Cricetulus griseus: one gene and its partner. The protein of the gene in region 1 purifies or fractionates together with the protein of each later gene. This does not show direct contact. Links are inferred from orthologs where the notes say so. Each region holds a gene or a part of one and is shown in the gene's direction. Other genes may lie near its edges.

Evidence for each region.
Region 2: the proteins of Acbd6 (region 1) and Nmt1 purify together in Homo sapiens (co-immunoprecipitation; 3 studies listed by BioGRID and IntAct, with this or other methods). This does not show direct contact. The link is inferred for Cricetulus griseus from reciprocal best matches to the Homo sapiens genes ACBD6 and NMT1.

The regions. Positions count from the first base shown.
Region 1 is NC_048598.1:36,206,515-36,217,736, reverse strand, and holds the start of Acbd6 (acyl-CoA-binding domain-containing protein 6), read left to right. Parts: upstream 1-4,783; 5' UTR 4,784-5,372; coding exon 5,373-5,594; intron 5,595-10,172; coding exon 10,173-10,237; intron 10,238-11,222. UniProt on the Homo sapiens protein: Binds long-chain acyl-coenzyme A molecules with a strong preference for unsaturated C18:1-CoA, lower affinity for unsaturated C20:4-CoA, and very weak affinity for saturated C16:0-CoA. Does not bind fatty acids. Plays a role in protein N-myristoylation.
Region 2 is NC_048600.1:115,074,132-115,084,744, reverse strand, and holds part of Nmt1 (glycylpeptide N-tetradecanoyltransferase 1), read left to right. Parts: intron 1-3,926; coding exon 3,927-4,045; intron 4,046-6,299; coding exon 6,300-6,391; intron 6,392-7,621; coding exon 7,622-7,738; intron 7,739-8,661; coding exon 8,662-8,832; intron 8,833-9,602; coding exon 9,603-9,711; intron 9,712-10,613.

The DNA.
Region 1 (11,222 bases):
TCTCTCTCTCTCTCTCTCTCTCTCTCTCTCTCTCTCTCTCTCTCTCCTTCCTCCCCCTCCTCCTCTTCCTTCTGTGTTCTCATACTTTTTTCCCTACAGCTTATATGATGGGGGATGTCCTTCTGTATATATGTTTCTCTTATTAGTTGATGAATAAAAATTCTGTTTGGCCAATAGAGGCAAGAAGATAGGCAGGACTAAGAGATGAGAAGCATTCTGGGAAATGTAGGCAGGGATGGACCTCGAAGGGACGCCATGTAGAGACCGGAAGGATAGGACACACCAGGCATTCTCTGGTAAGAAAAGGCCATGTAGAAATACATAAATTTATAGTTAGGGTTAATAATTAAGACAGAGCTAGCCAATAAGAAGCCCTAGTCGGGGCTGGAGAGATGGCTCAGCAGTTAAGAGCACTGACTGTTCTTCCAGAGGTCCTGAGTTCAATTCCCAGCAACCACAAGGTGGCTCACAACTACCTCTAATGAGATCTGGTGCCCTCTGCTGGCATGCAGGCAGAAGACTGTATGCATAATAAATAAAATCTAAAAAAAAAAGAAGCCCTAGTCATTGGCCAATAGTTTTATAATTAATATAGCATCTCTCTGTGTTCATTTGGGGCTGAAGTGGCAGGACCTGGTGGGACAAGAAACTCCAGTAACACTTATTTATCCCAACAAAGTATATCAGGAAATATAGAAATTACAATGTGGTTACATTCTGTTTTTCAAGTGAATGATTACAATGAGTAAAAGAAAAACAGCATGTTTTTTCATATACTTTATGTGATTAAATATTTGATGTTTTCCAGGTAAAAAACAAATTATCCCAAGAACATTCCCATGTACATTCATAACCAAGCAACTTGTTATACATTAACTATGTGGGCAAGCAAGATATTCTTAGTCAGGTCTTTTACTGGCAGGCTGCATTTTGCAGTTACAAAGAAAAAGTCAATTACTTTTTATTGCTTATCTTGAATGGGAATCTTATAAGGAATCTTAAGGGAATCACAAATCTAAACTTTTATATATGAAAAAGAATCAGTCAACTCTACTTAACATTTAGGGTGCATACCCACTCATCAATAGATTTTTATATCAGGAGATTGAGAGCAGAAATGGGTACAAGGAATCATAACCTCTGGTCAACCAACCCTAGCAAGGAAAGTACATTAGCTAGTAACAATTGGGCGGCTTTATATATTTTTTAAAGATTTTATTTATTTATTATGTATACAGTTATCTGCATGTATGCTTGTACACCAGAAGAGGGCACCAGATCTCATTACAGATGGTTGTGAGCCACCATGTGGTTGCTGGGAATTGAACTCTGGTCCTCTGGAAGAGCAGTCAGTGCTCTTAACCTCTGAGTCATCTCTCCAGCCTTGCTGCTTTATATTTTTTTACATCAGCTTTGTGTCCTTGTGAACTTTAGATTGTTTTCTAGGATTTTTCATCTTAAAACTGTTATCAAAGCATCTGATCTAACCTCAAGTTATTTTAAAGCTTTGTTTCTATTTCGGCTAATGATGCACACTGAAACCTGTGACAGTGTCTTTCAGCATTAAGATTAAAGGAATTTGAGCCAGATTGGCTCCTGGACACAACTGTTTTTCTTAATCATTAACTTGAGCTATGGCCTATGCGGCTCCTTAGATGAAACTCTTAGGCCCCAGCTGTGTGGCATTTCCTTGTGTTTATTTTCATTTATCAAAACTATATAAGCTAACATTATTATTATCAATTAGACTAGACAGTACAGTTTAGGGAGAAATCATCTTTATGATAATCCACAGAGAAAAGTTCCCAGTAGATTGGGATGTTTCCATGAGATAAATACACTACATTATAGACAGTGGGGGGTCTCCCCACATCCATTCACATCATTCCAGATACCAGAGAAAGATAGCAGCAACAAACATGTAAAGGCACAGCAGAAGCAAAAGACATTCCAGGTCTGTGGCCTCTGGGCCTTTGCCTGTCCGAGATACACCCATCTCATGAGGAAGCAAGACCATGATCTAAGCAGTCTTGCAAAAGGTCTCTCCTTACGTAAGGTCTATTTAGGCAACAGAGACTGACTTAGGAATGTATGCCTAACTTCCTTGCTTAACATTGTTAAGCTGTAGCTAGTTTGGTAAACTAAGTCATACAGAAAACTGTTGTGTTCTATAATGTTGTAGTATAAAAGGATCAGGGAAGATCCCAGTCTCTTTGTGGACTGTGTTTATGAGTTAAGTCTTATCTTGATATTAAAAGAGTTTCCACTCAGAAATTGTTATTTTTTTAAGTATAACCTTAGCAAGGATAAAGCTATAAAATCCTAATCATATAAGATAGGCAAGTTTAACTGTCAGTCATCTCGTACAGGATCAACTTCTTTGATATGTTCAGATTTAGCTGAGCCTAAAACAAATAACTAACAACACATATTACTAGCTGGACACACCTGATCCCAAGTATGAAATGCATAAAAGTCCAGATCCAGAGCCTGGCAACAGTTCAGTTAAAAAGTGTAGAGAAATCAGAATGATATGGTAAAATGGAAAAAGAGTAAGACATCAGTCAGGACCTTCCCTTTTGGGAGCCTATCAGGGGTCAGGCCCATATAGTAAGACTGAGACACAATTAGAAAACAGTACAGTGCTTTTGCTACATCATTCCCCTTGAAGAATGCTCTTCTATTGTAGTGGAGTGTATGCCCCCCAAAGGAAGTCCTTTTCCCAAGATCAGGCATTTGGATAAGAACCTCCATTCCTCAGGGGCTTGAGGAAAGTTCCTGCTTGGTAAAGGAATCATTTTCCTTATCTCTAACAAGAGGAACTGGTGGCCCTTCCGCTGATGTAAAAGGATGCCTGATGGAGTTACTGAACCTTAGAGAACAATAGGCATTTAGACACTTGCCGAATGTATCATTTTTGTCTTTGGAAAAATGCTGTGATAAAGTTGATGGCCACTTTCATCCCGGAATCATTGAGTCTGCTTTCAAACTTGCCTGTGGCTAAACGATTGTACACTTATAAGTATAAAAAGGTGTAGCCTTTTTTCAATAAAATGGTAGTCATCCCAGTTCACCCTTAGATCTTGTCAGTCTCCCTCCCCCTCACTAACTCCAGGCCTCCTCTTTAGGACCTCAGCCCCACTGGAGCTGGATTTCAGCCGTACTCCACTGGCATATTTCTTCCAGTTATCATATTTTAAACATGTACATTTGTCCTTGTTATTCCTTTTGAGGAGGGACTAATGGTGGAACCATTGATTCTCTATTCTCAAAAAAAAAAGTTTGTTGAATTCAGATCCAGGCCTTTTACCTTCTGTTTCTCATTGTTTGCTCATCCTGTCCAAACTTCTTTTAAAGCTTAATCCCAAGTGGCCAATAACCATTCTTTGTAATTAGCCTTATGCTTATTGGTGGTTTTAGTGATAAATGAGTATGTGTGCATTTACAACATTTAGAACATACTAGCCACTGATGATGCAAAAACCACATCCCTCATTGTCTTAGTCAATGTTCTGTTGTTGTGAAGTGACACCATGGCAACGACACTTAACGGGGGCTTGCTTAAGGTTTCAGAGGTTTAGTCCATTATCATCATGGCAGGAAGCTTGGCAGCAAGCAGGCAGACAAGGTGCTGGAGAAATAATTGTGAGTTTCTACATCTGGATCTGGATTGGTATGCAGAAGAAAGAGAAAGTCACTGGGTTTGGGCTTGGGCCTTTGAAACCTTAAAACCCAGCCCCAGTGACTGACTTCCTCCATCAAGGCAGTGTCTACCCTAAGGAGGTCACACCTCTTAATCCTTTTTAAGTAGTGCTACTCCCTGATAAGGAAGCATTCAAATATATGAGCCTATGGGCTCATATTATTTAACCTACCACACTCATCTTAAATGGTAAAGTTTATTCTGGAGTCACCTTGAGTGACCATTGCCTGGGGAACACAAATTTAGGTTACCCCAAATTCCATGTTCCAATGTGGAAGTAGTTTCATAGTTTTACAGAATAAAGAAAGTCATAAATCAAAGAAAGCTTAAAATACTTTGGTGGGTACATCAGAAAAGCAGTAAAAATGAGATGGGAGAAGCTTTTCTATATCCAAGAAAGTATCTGATGACATTCCGTTTTTGGGTTGGTGGAAGTTTTTACTATTATTACCACCTTCTACACACACACACACACACACACACACACACACACACACACACACTTATATGAGTCACCCCAACAACTGAGAGCATTCAGTGAGGTTCTCAAGTCCCTGCATGAGAGAATACCAAAATGGGGCTTTCTTAAAAGCCGGTAGCTAATGTGGCAAATATGCATGGTTGGTGGGTAGGTGTAATGAAGTTTGTGTGTCCGTGTAGTTTTCATTTTTGACAGTGTGCTGAACACAGACAAGCTCTGTTCCTTTAGGGCAGAGCTATGGATTTGATTTTAAGATGTATGAGAAATGTATCAGCCAAGTATGAGATGAGATGATGCTAAAGAAGGTGGGTCTGGGGGCCTGGTGAAACCTTCTCTCAGAGCCCTGGGAAATGAGGGATCAGCAGGTATGGAAAACAAAACATTGAGGAAGGTCATTTGGCTATTTAGACACACGGTGGGGCAGTGAAGGCTCCATCAGCCGTTCACTTGCCATTCAAAACACAGCCAAGATATCGAGGAACAGGCAAGAGAGGGTCTGTGGGAGCCTGGGTAGCACTGACTTGGGTGGTTAGGAGAAAGCGGAACTTTCCTCCTCAACTCCCTGTTTCCCGCGACGCCGATTCTGCAGCTACACCACCGAATGGACCGCCTCCTTCCCCTTCCCCGGGGGCCTATCCGGATGAGTTCCGGAGTTTGTGACTCCGAATTAGCCTCAAACCACGAGCAAACTCCTCCATAACTGAGGCCGGTCTCTCCAACTCTCTCCGCCCTAACCCACGACCCCGTTCGGGGAAGGGCGTGGGCTCGCACGCGGGGCAGGCGGGGCGGCGTAGCCACGGGCGCGTGCTCCGGAGCGCGTCCCGCCGAGCTCGCGCCCCGCGCTTCCCCACCTAGCTCCGGTGGCAGTGGTCCGCCGCGCGCCGGTGGCTTCCCATCACCTCCCTGCCTAGCGGCCTCCAGACCCCCGCGCCGTTGGAGCGACCCGGGCGAGGCCAGGCACTCGGTCCGACCGAGGAAAGCCGAAGGAGGACGGGGCGGCCCGGGGAGAGCTGCCAGGCTTCGCAGAGGCGGCCCTACGCCCCCGGGCAGGTCAAGTGGCAGAGTCACCTGAGAAAGCCACACAGCTAGCGGCGTCCCACTGCTGCCCGGGCTTCGCACCAGACTAGTGGTCCAGGCCCGGGAGGAGGCGTCACACCAGTGAGGACAGAGCATATCGAGCTAGTGGACATGGCCACCCCGTTCCTACCCGCAGGGGCCACCACAGGCGACAGCGGTGGGGAACTGAGCTCCGGGGACGACTCCGGTGAGATGGAATCCTCCCAGAACCCTGAGACCGAGGCATCCCGGAACCTGGACGAGCTGTTTGAGAAGGCTGCTGCACACGTCCAAGGCCTGGTTCATGTGGCCAGCAGGGAGCAGCTCTTGTACCTGTATGCCAGGTACAAGCAGGTAAAAGATGGGTGGATAAGACAGGGCACGGGCGTCTTCCTCCAAAAACTTACAGAGGTGTGCCGGGCTAATGGTGGAATGTAATGAAGTGTGTGTGTGTATGTGTTAAGTTTTTTTTTTTTTCTTTTTCTTTTGTGTGTGTTTGTTGACGGTAGAGAATAGCATCATTCCGGACATGGAAAAATCCCCCTGCTATCTTACGAATGATTATTTACTTGACTGGACACTGACACTATTTCTGTTCTCTCATTAGTGGCCTTGCGCCTGAACCTTTACAAAAACGAGAATGACAAAATAAAATTTTGTCATTCGTTGCTGCCAAAAGAACATGTGATAGAAAATATGGTAATGTTAACAATAAATTTGAAGTTTAAGAGAATATTTCTCTATATAAAACACAATACACTGTTACTATTGCGATTTTTAGAAACTCTAAATATAGTTGACATGCTTTTGGCTGAATTTGGTTCTGTTAGATATAGCCCCCCCCACACCTCTTTTTGTATAGGGTTCCATGTTGGCAACATGAGGAGCAGGTGATGAACTCTTGACTCAGCTTCCATCATCACTTTCTTTTACAAATACACAACAAAAAACCCAGGGGAGTAGGCAGCTCAGAAGGTCACATGGATATATTAGAATTAAAGTAGTTTCTGACTCGTAAGACTGAACTTTACCTAACGATAAGGAAATGTATGAGTTACATATGTAAAACTAATTTATCATTCAAAGTTAGGTACCAAAAGGAAAAAACAATTGCTTTATCACAGTTAACAGATACAGTTCAGCCTAACACTAGATGTCATGTCTACAGAGAATGCAAAGATGAAAGAACATGACACTGCCCTCCAGAGGCTTACAGGGTTACTTAAGGAATCTAGATGGGAAATGTGAAAAATTGATGATGACTTAAATAGCAGCTCAGGAAAACCCCAGCTCTTGGAAACGTTGAAAGAAATGAAGCTCTGGATAATAAACCTCTTATTTTATTAGAATAGAGAAAATGCCTCTTGGTATAGTTATATATTTCTCCTGAATTCTCTTTTTTAGGTAAGTGTGAGGACCCTCATGTATTTCTGATTACGTTTTTAGTGTGTACACATGTGTGACAGTGTTCAGGTGGAGGTCAGAGGACAACCTGCAGGACTTGGTTCTCTCCATCCATCATAGGGGTCATCAGGCAGAGTGGCAAGCATCTTTACTTATGGAGCCATCTTTCTGACCTGTTCTGTATTCTTAAAGATACACTGAATGGAGTGATCTTGCTAATAATGGTGTGGCCCGAGAGAGATTGGTATACAAGTCTTGTTCAACATTTTGTGTGATTCAGGGTGTGATTGTGCAGGCTGTGCTTTGGGGAGGTAAAGTCAGTGATCGGCCGTTGAGTTCAAGACCAGCCTGGTAAACACAGTAAGTGCCAGGTCAGCCAGAGCTACACAATGAGACGCCATCCCAAAACAAACAAACAATTGTGTGATGGGAGAAACACACAAGCACTTCTGTTACCAGATTATATTGGCGATTTTGAGGAAATGGGAAAATCACAGCTGTAATTGAGTCACAAACTTAACTATGTCCTTTTTCCATGGGACTTCATTTTTACTTATCAAAAACTATATAAATTGTTTAGATTTGGGTGTTTGACAGATAGTTTCTTGAAAATGAAAGAAGTGAGCCTGGAAAACAGCTGTAAATATTTGTTGCCAGTGATCATATTTGAGTTGTCAAATGAAAAGTAGAAGTTTGGAAAAAGTGGGGGTCTGCCACAGTGAGCTTGACAGCTTATATAGTACTCTTCATGCGATGCTGGCAGTAATGAGTGTGAAATTTCGCTCATGTATAATGTCAACATTTGGAAATGCTGAATGACTGAATGGAATCTTTTCTAAATATCTTTTCATGGAGTAATGTTAAAAATCAGTTTGAGCAAAAGTTCCAATCAAAATGAAAACCAGGGGAGTGGTTTTCACTATAACTGTATAAAAGATTCACAGTAAGTTCAGATTCCACATCATAACTAATCTTGGAGAAACTACCATTTGTTGAGTTTTGTATCAAAGAATCTCCATAGTTGGTGGGAGTGCTACACAAATAGTAATTTCTAACAGTGTGTTTATGTGAAACTGAAACTGCTTCATGGGCTCCATCCAAACCAAATGTACAGTGAGAGATTGGATGCAGAAGTATGACAATACAAGTATGCCCAATAGTGAAGAGATTTTTAAAAATGGCAGAGCAATTTTCCTGGTTTTTTTCTCTTTTTAGGTTAGAGTGTAGTAATTTTTTATGAAAAATTTACATTACCATGTACTAGATTTATTTTTAAATAAGTGAATAAATGTTTTAAAGGTATAATTTATTATTTTTTCTTGTGTCTGTATTCACATGTGTAGAGTGTGTGTGTGTGTGTATGTATGTATATGTGTGTAGAGGCTAGAGATTGATGGCGAGTTGATATCTTCTTCACTTGCTCTCTACCATATTCATTGAGGCAGGATATGTCATTGACCTCAGTTGCTGATTTAGCTAATCTGAGTAGTTGGCCAGTCTGGCATCTCTAAAATCATATCAACTGCTGGACTTTGCTACATCTACAAAAGGGGACAGACTATAAATACCAACTATAGTACTCAGGCCATGCAACTTTTGCCTACTTATAGGACTGGATTTTTTTGAAAATTATAGTAAAATATTTTGCTTAAAAACAAAGGTGGGGGTGCTAGCAAGCTAGCCCAGTGGTTACGAGTACCTGTCACTCTTGCATAAGATCTGGGTTCAGTCTCCAGGACCCACAAGTGGCAGGTTACACCTGTCTGTAACTCCATTTCCAGTAGATCTGATGACCTCTTCCAGCCTTGGCAGGCACCAGGCATGCCTACTCATACGGAAATGTTGTAGGAGATGAGGAATTAGGGCAGCCAGTGAAACAGCTTAGTGTATAAAAGCATTTGCCCAGCAGGCTGGACAACCTGAATCCAATCTCTGGAACTCATGTCAGAGAGAGAAAACTGACCTGAAAGTTATCCTCTGACTTTCATACACACTGTGGCTTGCAAGTGTCCAGCTCACATACACACACAAAATGAATAAAATTAAATAGTCAAAAAACAAAAGGTTCTTCCTCCTGCGTTGCCTGAGCTAGAACATGCATACTGATTTTGAGCTTCTCTGGCCATGAAAGCAGAACTTGAAACAGGAGTTCTCGAACTCTGGTTATGTGGTTCCTGTGATTTCTTTTGCCTCTTAGAATTAAACTCTCCAAAGAGCTTTAGTATGTGTAGATTTTATCCGCCATATATATAGATTAGAAATTTAGATCTTGGCTGGTGCACGCGCGCGCGTGCACACACACACACACACACACACACACACACACACACACACACCTTTAATCCCAGCACTCAGGATTACCCCTCCTCCCCCCTAGCTTTGAGAGGTAGAAGTAAGGGGGTTCAGGAGTTAAAACAACGTAAGTATTGACCACTTGGGGTTTATATTATGTTGACACACCTAAGTCCCACCCCAGCTTTTGACGTCTAAATTTATTTACTGTGGTGCTTTTTATTTAGGTTCTTGTTTTGTTTGTTTTGAAACAGGTTTTCACTGTGTATTCCTGGGTGTCCTGGAACTCACTCTGTAGCCCAGGCTGGCCTTGAATTCACAGATTGCTGGGATTAAAGGCATGCACCACCATGCCCGGCCAATGTGTCTCTTTTAAAATAGTACATTTTTAGTACAATTTATCCTAGATTTGAGGAGAGATAAAATGCTAGTAGAGTCGTGAAAATGATCATAAAAAAACCCAATATATATGAATTCTGAAAAACCAAACTTTAACTTCTGTTAATTACCGGTGAAATGGTTATGCATGTAAAGCATGTGTTGTGGAAGCCCGAAAGAGAACCTGCACAACAGAGCGGCCCTCTGACCTTCCCAATCCCCGGCACGCACACACCACACACAGGAATAAATTACAACTTAGAAAATTATATTTTGGTGCCGGATTCAAGACATGTAGCCTTGGCTGGCCTTGAACTCAGGGAGATCCACCTGCCTCTGCCTCTGGAGTGCTGACTAAAGGGGTGAGCCACCACTGCCCAGCATAAAATTCTATTTTAATGGCAGTAAAGACTATAATTTTATCTGTAGCTTGTTTTATAAGTTACAGTATTACTTAGCAATTACCTCATATAGAAAGCCTAGGTGGTGTTTTCATATAAGTAATTAGATAATTTAGACAGAGTCTCACTGTGTAGTCCTGCCTGGCTTGGAGTACATTGTGTAGAATAGGAGGGCCCTGAACTCATAGAGAGCTTTGAGTGCACGGAGAGTCACCTGCCCCTGCTAAAGGTGTACATCACCACACCTGGTGCTGCTGGTGTTTTTAATTTGAAGTATTTGAACTTTTGTCTGCTTTGCAGAGAATGTTAAAATTGTTATCCTATATATATTTAAATATTTTCTAATCTATAGTTACTAAATATACATAATAAATTTGAAAAATAAAAAGTCCTTAGACATTCTTTAGAAAACTAAAATAAATTCTTGTTATTTCCCCCCCCCCCCTTCCTCTTTTAGGTCAAAGTTGGAAACTGCAATATTCCTAAACCAAACTTCTTTGATTTTGAAGGGAAGCAAAAATGGTAAGAAACATTCTTGGGATCTTTAGTAAGGTTGCTGGAAATGACTTAGGGGTTTAGGAATTAGAAAGGGGTTAACAGATTAAAGAATTCTTTCTATGTTAATCTCTCCGAGGTTGGCTGCTAGTGACAGGCAGTGGGAAAGGGATTAAAGCAATCTGCTTTCAGCTAAGTCTTCATCACTGGTGTTAGTATGTAGGTAGGTAGAGCACAGGTGCACTCCCGTGAGAGAGCCCTTTATCTTATTGCTCAAGGTTGTTTCTTGTAGATAGCCTCTGGGGAACCACTTCTCACATACAGAAGAAAGGCAAAGAACAAGATAAATCCCCACCTCCTACTTGTCTCTGCCTCTGCCCTACAGAAAAGAAGTGCTTGTCACAGTTTTTTGTAAAGAATTGTGGAGAAAAAAATCTAAAACCTGATATAGGCTCACTCTATTCTGAATACATTTTTTTTAACCTATAATTCAGAGAGTCTCTCATATTATTTTTCCTTACCTGGCTTCAGTGAAAAAAAGAGAAAGTGTTAAACAATAGTGAACATAGTTACAAAAGGGAAGACTTTTGTGCATCAGCCCCAGTGGTAAAATTAGTGTTGAGGGTCGAGTTATTTATTGCTTTGTGATCAGTATGTTAAGGAGGTATTCCTATATTTCAGTAATTGCTGAAATTTTGAAACTCAGAGTTAAGCATGTGAACATGACTGTAAACATACAGTTAAAGCTGCCCACTCCAATTTGGTATTCTGTCAGTATCAACCACAGTCCTTTGGAGTCTAAGTCACGTGGTTTCCAGCAGGCCTATAACATATCCAAGGAACACCTTCCTGTATTTATGCTAATTACTTCTTGTATTGAAGGTCTTTTAGGATAGTTTTCTATTGTTGTTGTTTTGTTTGTTTTTAGATTTATTGATTTTATTTGCATGGATGTGGTGCCCACTGAAATCAGAAGAGGCCTTTGGAATTGAATTTACAGATGGTTGTGAGC
Region 2 (10,613 bases), on another chromosome or scaffold:
CCTGTCTTAAAATAACACTTAACTGTAAAATGATGTAATAAACTTGTAAAGGGATTAGACAGACGGAAACCCCATATGTATTCCAGAGGTAATTGCACCTGCTGGAGTTAGAGATGTCTGCTAGACCTGAATCATCACAGCTGACCTTGGTCACTGCCCTTGGAGCTTCTGGTGGAGGTTTTGGTTTTGTTTCTGGGACTCTTGGGACCCAATTCTTGTTTCATGTGTATGTAGCTGAGGAAGTAAAGTGTGTGTTGTTTGTTTTCCTTTTTTGAGGGGGGGGGTGTGTTTCTCTGAGTAGTCCTAGTTGTCCTGGAACTCTTAGAACCCAGGCTGGCCTTGAACTCACAGAGAATCACGTGCCCCTGCCTCCCGAATGTTGGGATTAAAGGAATACACCACTACTGCACAGCTCCTGGTGTGTTTTCTTTTTATGTTTTTAAAAAGATTTATCATTTTTTGAAATGACCTGTGTGTCTGTCTGTGAATATAAACACAGAACAACAGGCAGTTGTGAGCCATCCAATACAGGGCTGCCTGGGGATGAATTTTGTCCTCTGCAGCATGTGCTCTGAATTTTTGAGCCCTCTCTCCAGCCCCAAAACACTGGCGAGATGGCTTAGTCATTATAGATGATTGTCTACATTGAGACAAATCATAACGTCCTGAATTGCAGCTCCAGGGTATCCACTGCCCTCTTAGGACCTCTTAGGGTATACACACGTGTGTCATACACATAAAAAAATATGTATCTTTGGGCTAGAGAGATGGCTCAGTGGTTAAGAGCGCTGGCTGCTCTTCCAGAGGTCCTGAGTTCAATTCCCAGCACCCATATATTAACTCACAGGCATCCGTAATGAGATCTGGTGCCCTCTTCTGGCCTGCAGGCATATATGTAGGCAGAACACTGTACACATAATAAATAAATAAATCATTTAAAAAAATGTATCTTTAATAAAAATACCCTCATTAGAGAAGCCTCTCTTTGTAGTAAGAGGTAATTTACACAGTCGAGACCTGGTCAGTGTGCGGCAAGTAAGGGACTGCAGGGTGCTCAGCACTAAGTGGACCCTCACTCCTGTCACTCCTCTCCCAGAGGAGGAGGGAGAACAATTGTGAGAGGTGTAGTAGCCTCAAGGAAAGTGTTCGTCAGGCGCTACAGGGCACAGAGGTCGTGACAGCAAGCACAAGGCCTGCACGAGCTCTTCAGACAAAACCTCAGCATTGTGCAGGGAAGGTGGACACGAAGCCCCACCACCAGCTGAGGAGCTGTTAGCATTTGATAGCCACTGGGAGAGGCAGAGTGGGTTTTCTTTAATGATATGACCCTTGACAGGTTAACTACACACCACTGTGGGCCCCACTCCCACCTCTAGCTGGGCAACAAAATCTGGACTCAATGGAGAAAGAAAAATAAAATCTCAAGTTAGTTAGGTGAGAAGGGTTGCGAAAGTGATAATAGGAGAAGTTTGGAGGTGAATATGTTTAGACATATTGTATGAAATTGTCTAATAAAAATATTATTGAAAATTAAAACAAATCAAGAGTTCAAAGATAGCTTCCAATATGCAGTGAACATGAGGTCAGACTGAAAACTACATACGATCATGTCTCAAAAAGACATTTGCATATTAATGAAATGTTTTTGTTGTTTTTTTGTCATTTTTCAAGACAGGGTTTCTCTGTATTGCTTTGGCTGTCCTGGAATTCACTTTGTAGACCAGGCTGGCCTTGAACTCACAGAGATCCACCTGCCTCTGCCTCCAGAGTGCTGGGATTAAAGGTGTGAGCCACCACTGCCTGGCCAGATATGCCTTTTTATTTTCACATAAAGAGCTAAATCCTGCTGCACATGGACATATCCCTTTACTGTAAACAGAATTTGTTGAATAGATAGCTCATGGTTACGAACACTTGTTCTTGCAGAGGACTCAGGTTCAGTTTCCAGCACCTGTGTGATGGCTTCCAACCATCCATAACTCAAGTTCCAGGGCACTTGACCCCTTCTTCTGACCTCCATGGACACCAAGCACACGTATGATGCATATACATACAAACAGGCAAAACACTCATACACACACAAAAACAAATGAATAAAATGAAATAAATAAGCTTAAAATTTTAGGTGCCTATGCCTGTGTGTGTTGGGTATGTGTTTGCCCTCAGAGGCTAGAAGAGGATGCGATGTCCACACCTGCTAGAACTGGCCTTTCAGGTCCATCATGAGCCACCTGAAATGGGTGCTGGGAACTGCGCTAGAGTCTTCTGGAAGAGCAGCAGTGCTGTTAGTCACCTCACCGTCTTCCAGCCTCCGTTCAATAGTCTTGATCTGAGCCAAGGTTTCTAAGACAGAGTTCATTGATGTTTCATAGCATGTTAGCACGCACAGTGCAGCTTGCCCATGTGTGTTCAGAGCCAAGGCTACATAACACTGCCATGCTTAATTTTCAATTCATTTTTGATATGTGTGTCCAAAACCATTTACTGTTACCAGAACTTTCTTGACAGCCCCACTTTCACATATGCAGGCCTGGGTTAGGACTTCGTTTCAGAAGCTTTGGTCTGGAACAGTTGTTAGGTGCCCTCCATGAGCCTTCTCCATGAGCCTTCAGTCCCTCTTCCAATCATGTCATTCTTTCCTTGTTGAGGGGAACAGGGTTTTTGTTTTGTTTTGGTTTTTTTTTTTTTTTTCTTCCCCTTGACTTTAGCTGTCCCTCTGCAGCTCATAGTCTGTCCTCTGCTGTTTACGGCTCTCGGCTCTGCACAGCAGACATGGGCGGCATGGCACCTCTAACTAGGAAGTAAGTGACTGAGGACAATAGGAACGAGCTTGTACATACTGGTACATACCTGTAATCCCACATTAGGAGGCTAAGACAGGAGGAGTGCTGTGAGCACAAGGCCAGCCTGGGCTACTTAGCACTCTCCTGTCTTAAACAAACAAAACCTTAACTGCTTGACTGCCTGGCTTTCCTCTCTAGTCTCATCTAGTTTTAGTTTCTCCCCTTCATCTCAGCCTCCCAAGCTCTCCCACAGAGGAGGGGGGGTGGTGCCAGAGGGAGACTTCCCGGCAGCATCTGCAGACCTGTGAGTCAGCCCCAAGGCATTTGTAGTGCTCAAAGCACAGAGGCCCTGAGCTGGCAGAGGCAGGCAGTTAGCTGGCCCACAGGGCTGGAAGCTGAAGCTGGAAGGCCAAGAGAGCCTGGCTGCTAGAAGCCGTCATCTGACTGAGGAGTGAGCCCAGTATTCTGTTGTTCTTGACACAAAGGCAGCCTTGTTGCAGCTCCTTACAGATCTCCTCAGGTTAGGGAAGGGTGTGTAGGCTAGAACATAACGACACTGCACCAGCCAGGAGGCAGGAAGCCAGGTTAGCTATGATGAATGTTTGTCACTCAGGAGCCCAAGGGAGATGTACAAGGATTTCCAAAAATGAGCCACCTTGGATCCCAGATATTCTTCTGAGGTTTTGTTGTGCATTGGCCCTCAACCAGGGACCAAAGGTAACTGGAGAGAGAGTTTTCAGTTGCCAAGCATGGAATGTTCTTCAGCTATGGGGTTCCTAGGGCCAGGGGAAATTAGCTCTGATAATGTGTTTTTCCTCAGGTAGGGTCTCATGTAGCTCAGACTGGCCTTAAACTCACTGTGTAGTGGTAGATGACCTCAGAGTTCTGATCCTTCTGCCGCTGCTAAGTGCTGGCTGTAGTCGTGCACCACTGTGCCCAGGATATATAGTACTGAGCCTATAGTACTCAGTACACAAGCAAGATGACCACTCTAGCTGCTGAACCTCATCCCCAGCCTGTAGACCATGTTGGCCTTGAACTCACAGAGATCCGCCTGCCTCGCTGCCTCCAGTGAATGTTTTAAACAAGCTCTCCCTTCCCCCTGGTGGAGCCACCTGTTGACTCCTGGCTGTGCTTTTCTAGGTGAAGTGGTAAATACCCATGGGCCAGTGGAACCTGACAAGGACAACATTCGCCAGGAGCCCTATACCCTACCCCAGGGCTTCACTTGGGATGCCTTGGACCTGGGAGACCGTGGTGTGGTGAGTAGGCCTGATTTGCAGGTGGGACTCTTAGGAGCTGAGCCACAGAGGGCTGAACAGACCCCATCTGGTACTTTCTGGGTGTGCCCAGACTCTACACACTAGTAGTTAGTATCTCATACTTGTAAGGCTGAAAGCTGTCTTCTCAAGTTCCCCATTGTAGAGTCTTTTTTTTTTTTTTTCCCCTTTTATTCCTTTGTCATTGGATTTGTTTTATTTTTGTTTTGCTTTGATTTTTGAGACAGGGTCTCTATTATGTAGCCCTGTCTAGTGTGGAACTCATTCTGTAGACCATGTTGGCCTTGAACTCACAGAGATCCACCTGCCTCTCTGCCTCCCAAGTGCTGGGATTAAAGGTGTGCACCACCACAGCCTGGCCAAAGCAGGCTACTCTTGTGGAGGCATTTTCTCAATTAATACACCCTCTTCCAGATTGTGTTAAGTTGACAAAAATCAGCCAGCACAGTGCATGTGAGTTTGGGGGACCCACAGAGGTCAGAAGCGGTGTAACTCCTGAAGCTACAGTTACAGATGGTTGTGAGCTGCCTGATCTGGGTATTGAGGCATGAGCTTGGTTCCTCTGGAAGAGCGGCAAATCCTCTTAAACACTGACATCTCTCCAGTTCCTTATTTTTATTCTTGATATGGGGGCGTGGGGTGCATAGCCGTGAATGTGCCTGTGCACGTGTGCATCTATATGCTTGGTTCTTGTTTTGTTTTTGAGATAGAGTCTAACTATATGGCCCTAGCAGGCCTGGAACTTGCTAGATGACCAAGGTAGCCTTGAACTCATGGAGCTCCATCTCCCTTCCAAGTGCTGGGATTACAGTCATGTAACACTGTGCCCAGCATTTGTTTTGGGTTTTTTTTTTTAGGTAGATATCTGTTGGTATCGCAGGTATGTGTCACCAACACCTGATTATGTGGTGCTAGGGACCGAACCCAGAGCTCTGTGTGTTGGAACCCGGCATTATGCTGACCTCACCCCCGACAATGGGTGGGACACACAAATTGGCATTCAAGCAGACACTTAGGCAGCTCAAAGGGCCCTGTGTGTGTGGCCATGTCATGGCTATGTCACGGGGCTGCGTAAGGACTCAGTACACATGTGCAAGCTTCTCCTTTTAAGCGGGCAGCTCCACATGTTCTTTCCCTCTCCCTTCGCCCCGCCCCCTCTCTCCTTTCTCCCCTTTCTCTCCCTTCTCTTCTTTCTTTCTCTCCCTCCCCCTTCCCCCTTTTCTTCTTCCTTGTCCCATTAATAAACTCCACATGGGTTTGTTGACTCTTGTGGTTTTTGTTTTCATCTACTCTTCTTGTAAGTGAAACAAAAGAACAAAACTGCACACTGGACTAGTAGACAAATAGTCTACCAACTGAAGTACTCCCCCAGCCACTTTCTTTTTTACCTTTGAGACAGTCTTATTACATAACCCTAGCTGGCCTTGACTTTGAGTCAGGCCTCCTGCTTCAGGCCCCTGAGTGATGAGATTGTAAGTCTGCACCAACACACTGTTATCCGCTTGTTTTGACACCAGAGACCTAGGAATTTCTTTCTGTGTAAGAGCCCTCTGCCCTCAACTCAGGGCTCTAGGGTTCCTCTTGGCTTACTCTCCACCATACCTGGTTTAGGAACAGATCTGTTTGGGGAGAGCAGGGGTGAGGGCTGGAGGATGGGAGATGGGGAAGGATAGACAGTGCGTGTGCCACAGTACCTGTGGAGGTCAGAGGACAACTGTATAAAGTTGTTCCCCTCCTACTTTTATGTGAGCCTAGGGATTGAACTCAGACAGACTTGCACAATAAGTGTTTTTACTTACTTGGGCCAGCTGAGGGAGACAGCTTAAAGGCAGAAAAAGGACAAAAGTCTTTTGGGCTAGATGATAAAAACCAAACTTTTATTTATTTATTTATTTATTTATTTGTATGGCAGTGATGTCCTGGGAGTAAATAGTTTGACAAGCCCCCAAAATCATGTTTACAGAATTTGGGAAGCTTCCTCTGGTGGAGAGACAATATTCTAGACACCACTGTGTACTGAAGTCTGTGGCTCTGCCCCTAGTGCTTCTGTTTCTTATCACACCCATGGGTACTTGTTCTAAAAGAATCCTTGCCATGCCTGGGATGACACAGGTTTGAGAGATTTGAGGTAGTTCTGGCAATTAGCGTTGTCCTTCTGTGAAGCTCAGAGCCACAGGGCATTGGAGTTGGCTTCCACTGGGCAGAGCACTTCAGTGAGCTACTCATTTCTCTGCAGCTAAAAGAACTGTACACCCTCCTGAATGAGAACTACGTGGAAGACGATGACAACATGTTCCGATTTGATTATTCCCCAGAGTTTCTTTTGTGGTAAGTTGTAAGGGTGTCTTTAATATAATTTTATTTAACTTGTAAACAGTGAAAATTTACTTCTCATGGATCTGGAGGCTAGGAAATCAAAGGATCCCAAGGGCTTAATGTCTGGTAAAGGCCTGCTCTCCGGCTCCAAGAGCTCTTCCAGTTTTAAGGGCAAAGCAGATAGCAGAACCACAAAGGAACATGGAGTTCTCCTCCTTCCCAAGAGCCAGCCTTTGAGTGGCAAACTGCTTTGTGCTTGAGTTCGTGCATCTGGAGACTTGCTTTAAGTGGTGCTTAGAGCTGAAACCTTCCTTAAAATAGATGGGCTGAGGGAGACATGCAGAGTTGGTGCCCAGAAACAAAGATCATCTACCATATGGTGACCTTTTCAAGGGGAGAAGGGCAGATGAGACCTACTAAGATTTGAAAGAAAAGTTCTTTACTATCCAGTTAATGAGCATGCTCAGTTATAGAAAATGGCCTACCCTGCATGAGCCATCTACTACCCTGGGCTACATTTAGCATCTAAGAAGATAGAGGCATGAGGCTGAAGTGGCATGGGTTCACCCCAATGGATAGGGGAAGCAGAAAGAGAAGAGATGCTCCAAGGGGCAGATGGCAAACCCCAGGGTTTCCAAGTTAGTCCCTAACCAAAAGACCACTGGCCTCCAAATGACAGTCCTCTAGTTCAAGCTGTGAGATGAACATAAACACTAGCCATGTTGGCACATGCCTGTAAAACCAGCACTTAGGAGATAAAGACAGGCAAATCTCTGCATTCAAAGCCAGTCTGTTGTACATAGAGGGTTTCAGGGCAGTTGAAGCTACATAGTAAGACCCTGTTTCGAAAAACAAAAACACAGACCCTAGCAAAGGGGTGTACTTATGGCAGAACCAGGATGGTCACAAGTTTGAAGACAGCCTAGGGTGCATAGAGAGCCTGTTTCAAAAAACAACAACAAATAAGACTGGGCTGTGTGGCTTAGTGCCAGAGAACTTGTTGGAATATATGTGCAAGCCTGGGAACAATCTCCAGCATGACCGGGACAAAGATGCTTTCGAGAAATGCCTGTGACTTGATTCTGTCGGAGTCTAGGACGCCTTCGTCCTAAAGAGAACGTGGTTGTTAACGCCCAGGCAAGTGGTAATGCCAGCTCAGGACCCAGCATGGCTCTGGAGCCTAAGCAGCTCTCCAGCCTGCTGTAAGTGGTACCACAGCTCCTGTCCTCATCTTTGTTCCAGGGCTCTCCGGCCACCTGGCTGGCTCCCACAGTGGCACTGCGGGGTTCGAGTGGTCTCAAGTCGGAAACTGGTTGGGTTCATCAGTGCCATCCCAGCAAACATCCACATCTATGACACGTAAGCATCAGCACTTGTCACCACCATCTTGCTGGTCTGGGAGGAAAGGGAAGAAGAAAGCTGTGTGTTTACCTGTGAAAGGAAGATGGAGGCATCTGTATGCTGGGAGTAAAACTCAGCATGGGAACCACGTGCTTTGACATTTATCATGGCCCTTTAATCACAGCACTTGGGTGGCAGAGGCGGGTGGATCTCTGAGTTCAAGGCCAGCCTGATGATCTACATAGCAAGTTTCAGGCCAGCCAAGGCTGCATGGTGAGACTGTCCCTGAATTGTAGCTGGTTGCTTTGTCTGTGACTTTGCTGAGGCCATCCACTTCTGCATTCCTGCCCCAGTCACATGGTTATACAATTGAGCAGCTTCAGAAATGGGCAGGAGCTAGTGTGGCACCGATTCAGATGGTCTCACAGTCATCTGCTGCAGTCTTCTGGATCCACAGGCTGTAGATTCTTGTGGGTATCAAAATCTTAGATTATCTGTCAGTAGTGGTTCACACCTATAATATAAGCTACATCTTGGGAGGTAGAAGAAGGAGGGTCGATGGCTCAGGGCTGGCCTGAGTTACTTATCGAGTTCAAGATCAAGCTTGTCTCAGATCCATACTAGCCTTGATTTACTCTGGGGTTTCTTAATGCTGCTTCATCGTCTGCTGCAGGTGGTACTCCTCAGCCTACTCACAGGGACTCCCCAGGGTGGTGCTAGTGGTGCCTGCAGATAAAGTATTCACAGGCTTCCCACTTGCCTTTTGAGTAGAGAATGTGAGGCAAGCTTGCCAAGTAGAAACTGGTAGTGGGTGGGATCCCCAGTAGTGACAATGACAGCAAAATGCACACCTTCAGGTGTAGCACTGCCTAATTTGAAGAGATTCCATTCCTGTTGTGTGGGAAAAACCTTAGCCGTCAGCATTTTGCCTCCCTCTCAAGAGAGAAGAAGATGGTGGAGATTAACTTCCTGTGTGTCCACAAGAAGCTGCGCTCCAAGAGGGTGGCTCCAGTTTTGATCCGAGAGATAACCCGGAGGGTTCACCTGGAGGGCATTTTCCAAGCTGTTTACACTGCTGGCGTGGTATTGCCAAAGCCTGTTGGCACCTGCAGGTAAAAATGTCTTCCTGTGGGTCTTGGGAGTGCTGGCTATAGCTGAGGAGTAATGTCACTAAGACATAGCATTGCCCTGCTCTGTGCCTGCTCAGTGGGGTGTGGATGGCTGGATAGCTGGCCGCAGCCAGGTGGAGAACATTTTGGGAATGTGAAGGAGGTGTGATTCAGACCAGTTGCAAAGAGATTCTCAAATCGGATTACCACCAGTTACAGATGAGGGTTTTGTTTAAAGTATGAGGCCAAATTTGGGTTTTTATAGAAAATGCCTTTTAGTTTTAAGTATTTGGCTTAGCTTCATTAATGAATATTTTGTGGATCAAAGAGAACTTGTCTGATCCTGTGTGATCTAAGGACAGCCTTCACCTTGGAAAGGTGTTTGAAACGATTGAATAATCTCTGCCTAGAGAACTGCAAAAATAATAACTCGAGGTGAATACAGAAGAGGAAAGAGAGGCGGGTAAGCGTGTCTGCCCGTCTTCTGGGCACCCTTGTCAATCTGCCACTGACCTGGTTCCAGGACCCGATTGTGCTCCCCAGACAGCTACTCTAACAAAAGAATGGCTTTTGAAATAGAAAAATAGGGAGGAAAAAGTGTCGGAGGGCCCATGGCAGCTCTGACCCACTGGAGGAGGCTGAGCCCGTACCTCCAGAAGGGGCTTGATGAGTCGCTCATGACACCTGCTGGCCATCTGGTGCCCTGCTCTTCTCCTCTTAATGAGTACGACTGGCCAGAGCCTCCTGAGGTAAGGACATTTGTGTCCCTACAGGTACTGGCATCGGTCTCTAAACCCTCGGAAGCTGATTGAAGTGAAGTTCTCTCACCTGAGCAGAAATATGACCATGCAGCGCACCATGAAGCTCTACCGACTGCCAGAGGCCAGTGGTGCTCTGGGGTGGCGGGCAGGGACAGGGATGTGCGGGAGGTTTCCATTCACCAGCGCCTAGTCGCCAGGTTCTATGTCTTACTGTCTACCAGGATTCTCCTGCTGCCTGCTCAGAGAACACTACTGCTCTCTGATGTTAGCCTAGGTGAAGAAGCATAGATAGAAAATGGATTGCCTTACTGGACCTTGATCTCATCTGTGTTTCCCACACTCTAGAGACCAGTGTGGTAAACTCTTCAGTGTCTACTCCCTTCTGCCAAGACAGCAGGGGGTGTGCTGATGGAGCTTGTGAGAGAAGCCAGATGTATGTATGTATGTATGTATGTTTGTTTGTTTGTTTGTTTGTTTGTTTGTTTGAACAGGGTTTCTCTGTGTAGCCCTGGCTATTCTGGAATTCACTCTGTAGACCAGACTTTTTTTTCTTTTCTTTTTTTTTTTTTTTTTTTTTTTTTTTTGGTTTTTTAGAGACAGGGTTTCACTGTGCCTTTGGAGCCTATCCTGGCGCTCGCTCTTGTAGACCAGGCTGGCCTTGAACTCACAGAAATCCACCTACCTCTTCCTCCCGAGTACTGGGATTAAAGGCTTGCGCCACCAACGCCCGTCAAGAAACCAGATTTCTAATCCCTCCCCCACACCCAGAATGACACTGAGGGACTGAATAATCTGGAGTGACCAGGTCTTCAATTCTAGGTCTCAGTCTGCCCACTTTCCGGATCCTGAGCTGTGTACTCTTAATTCCCTCCACTGGCCTCAGAGCACATCCAAGTAGCTATCAGATGGTTGCCAGCTGTCATATGGATGGTTGTACTTGAACCCATGTCCCCTAGGTAGCTGTCAATCATACAAAGTGCTTGCTGCTCAAAGGTCTGCTAGATTGAAGAGATTGATCTGCAC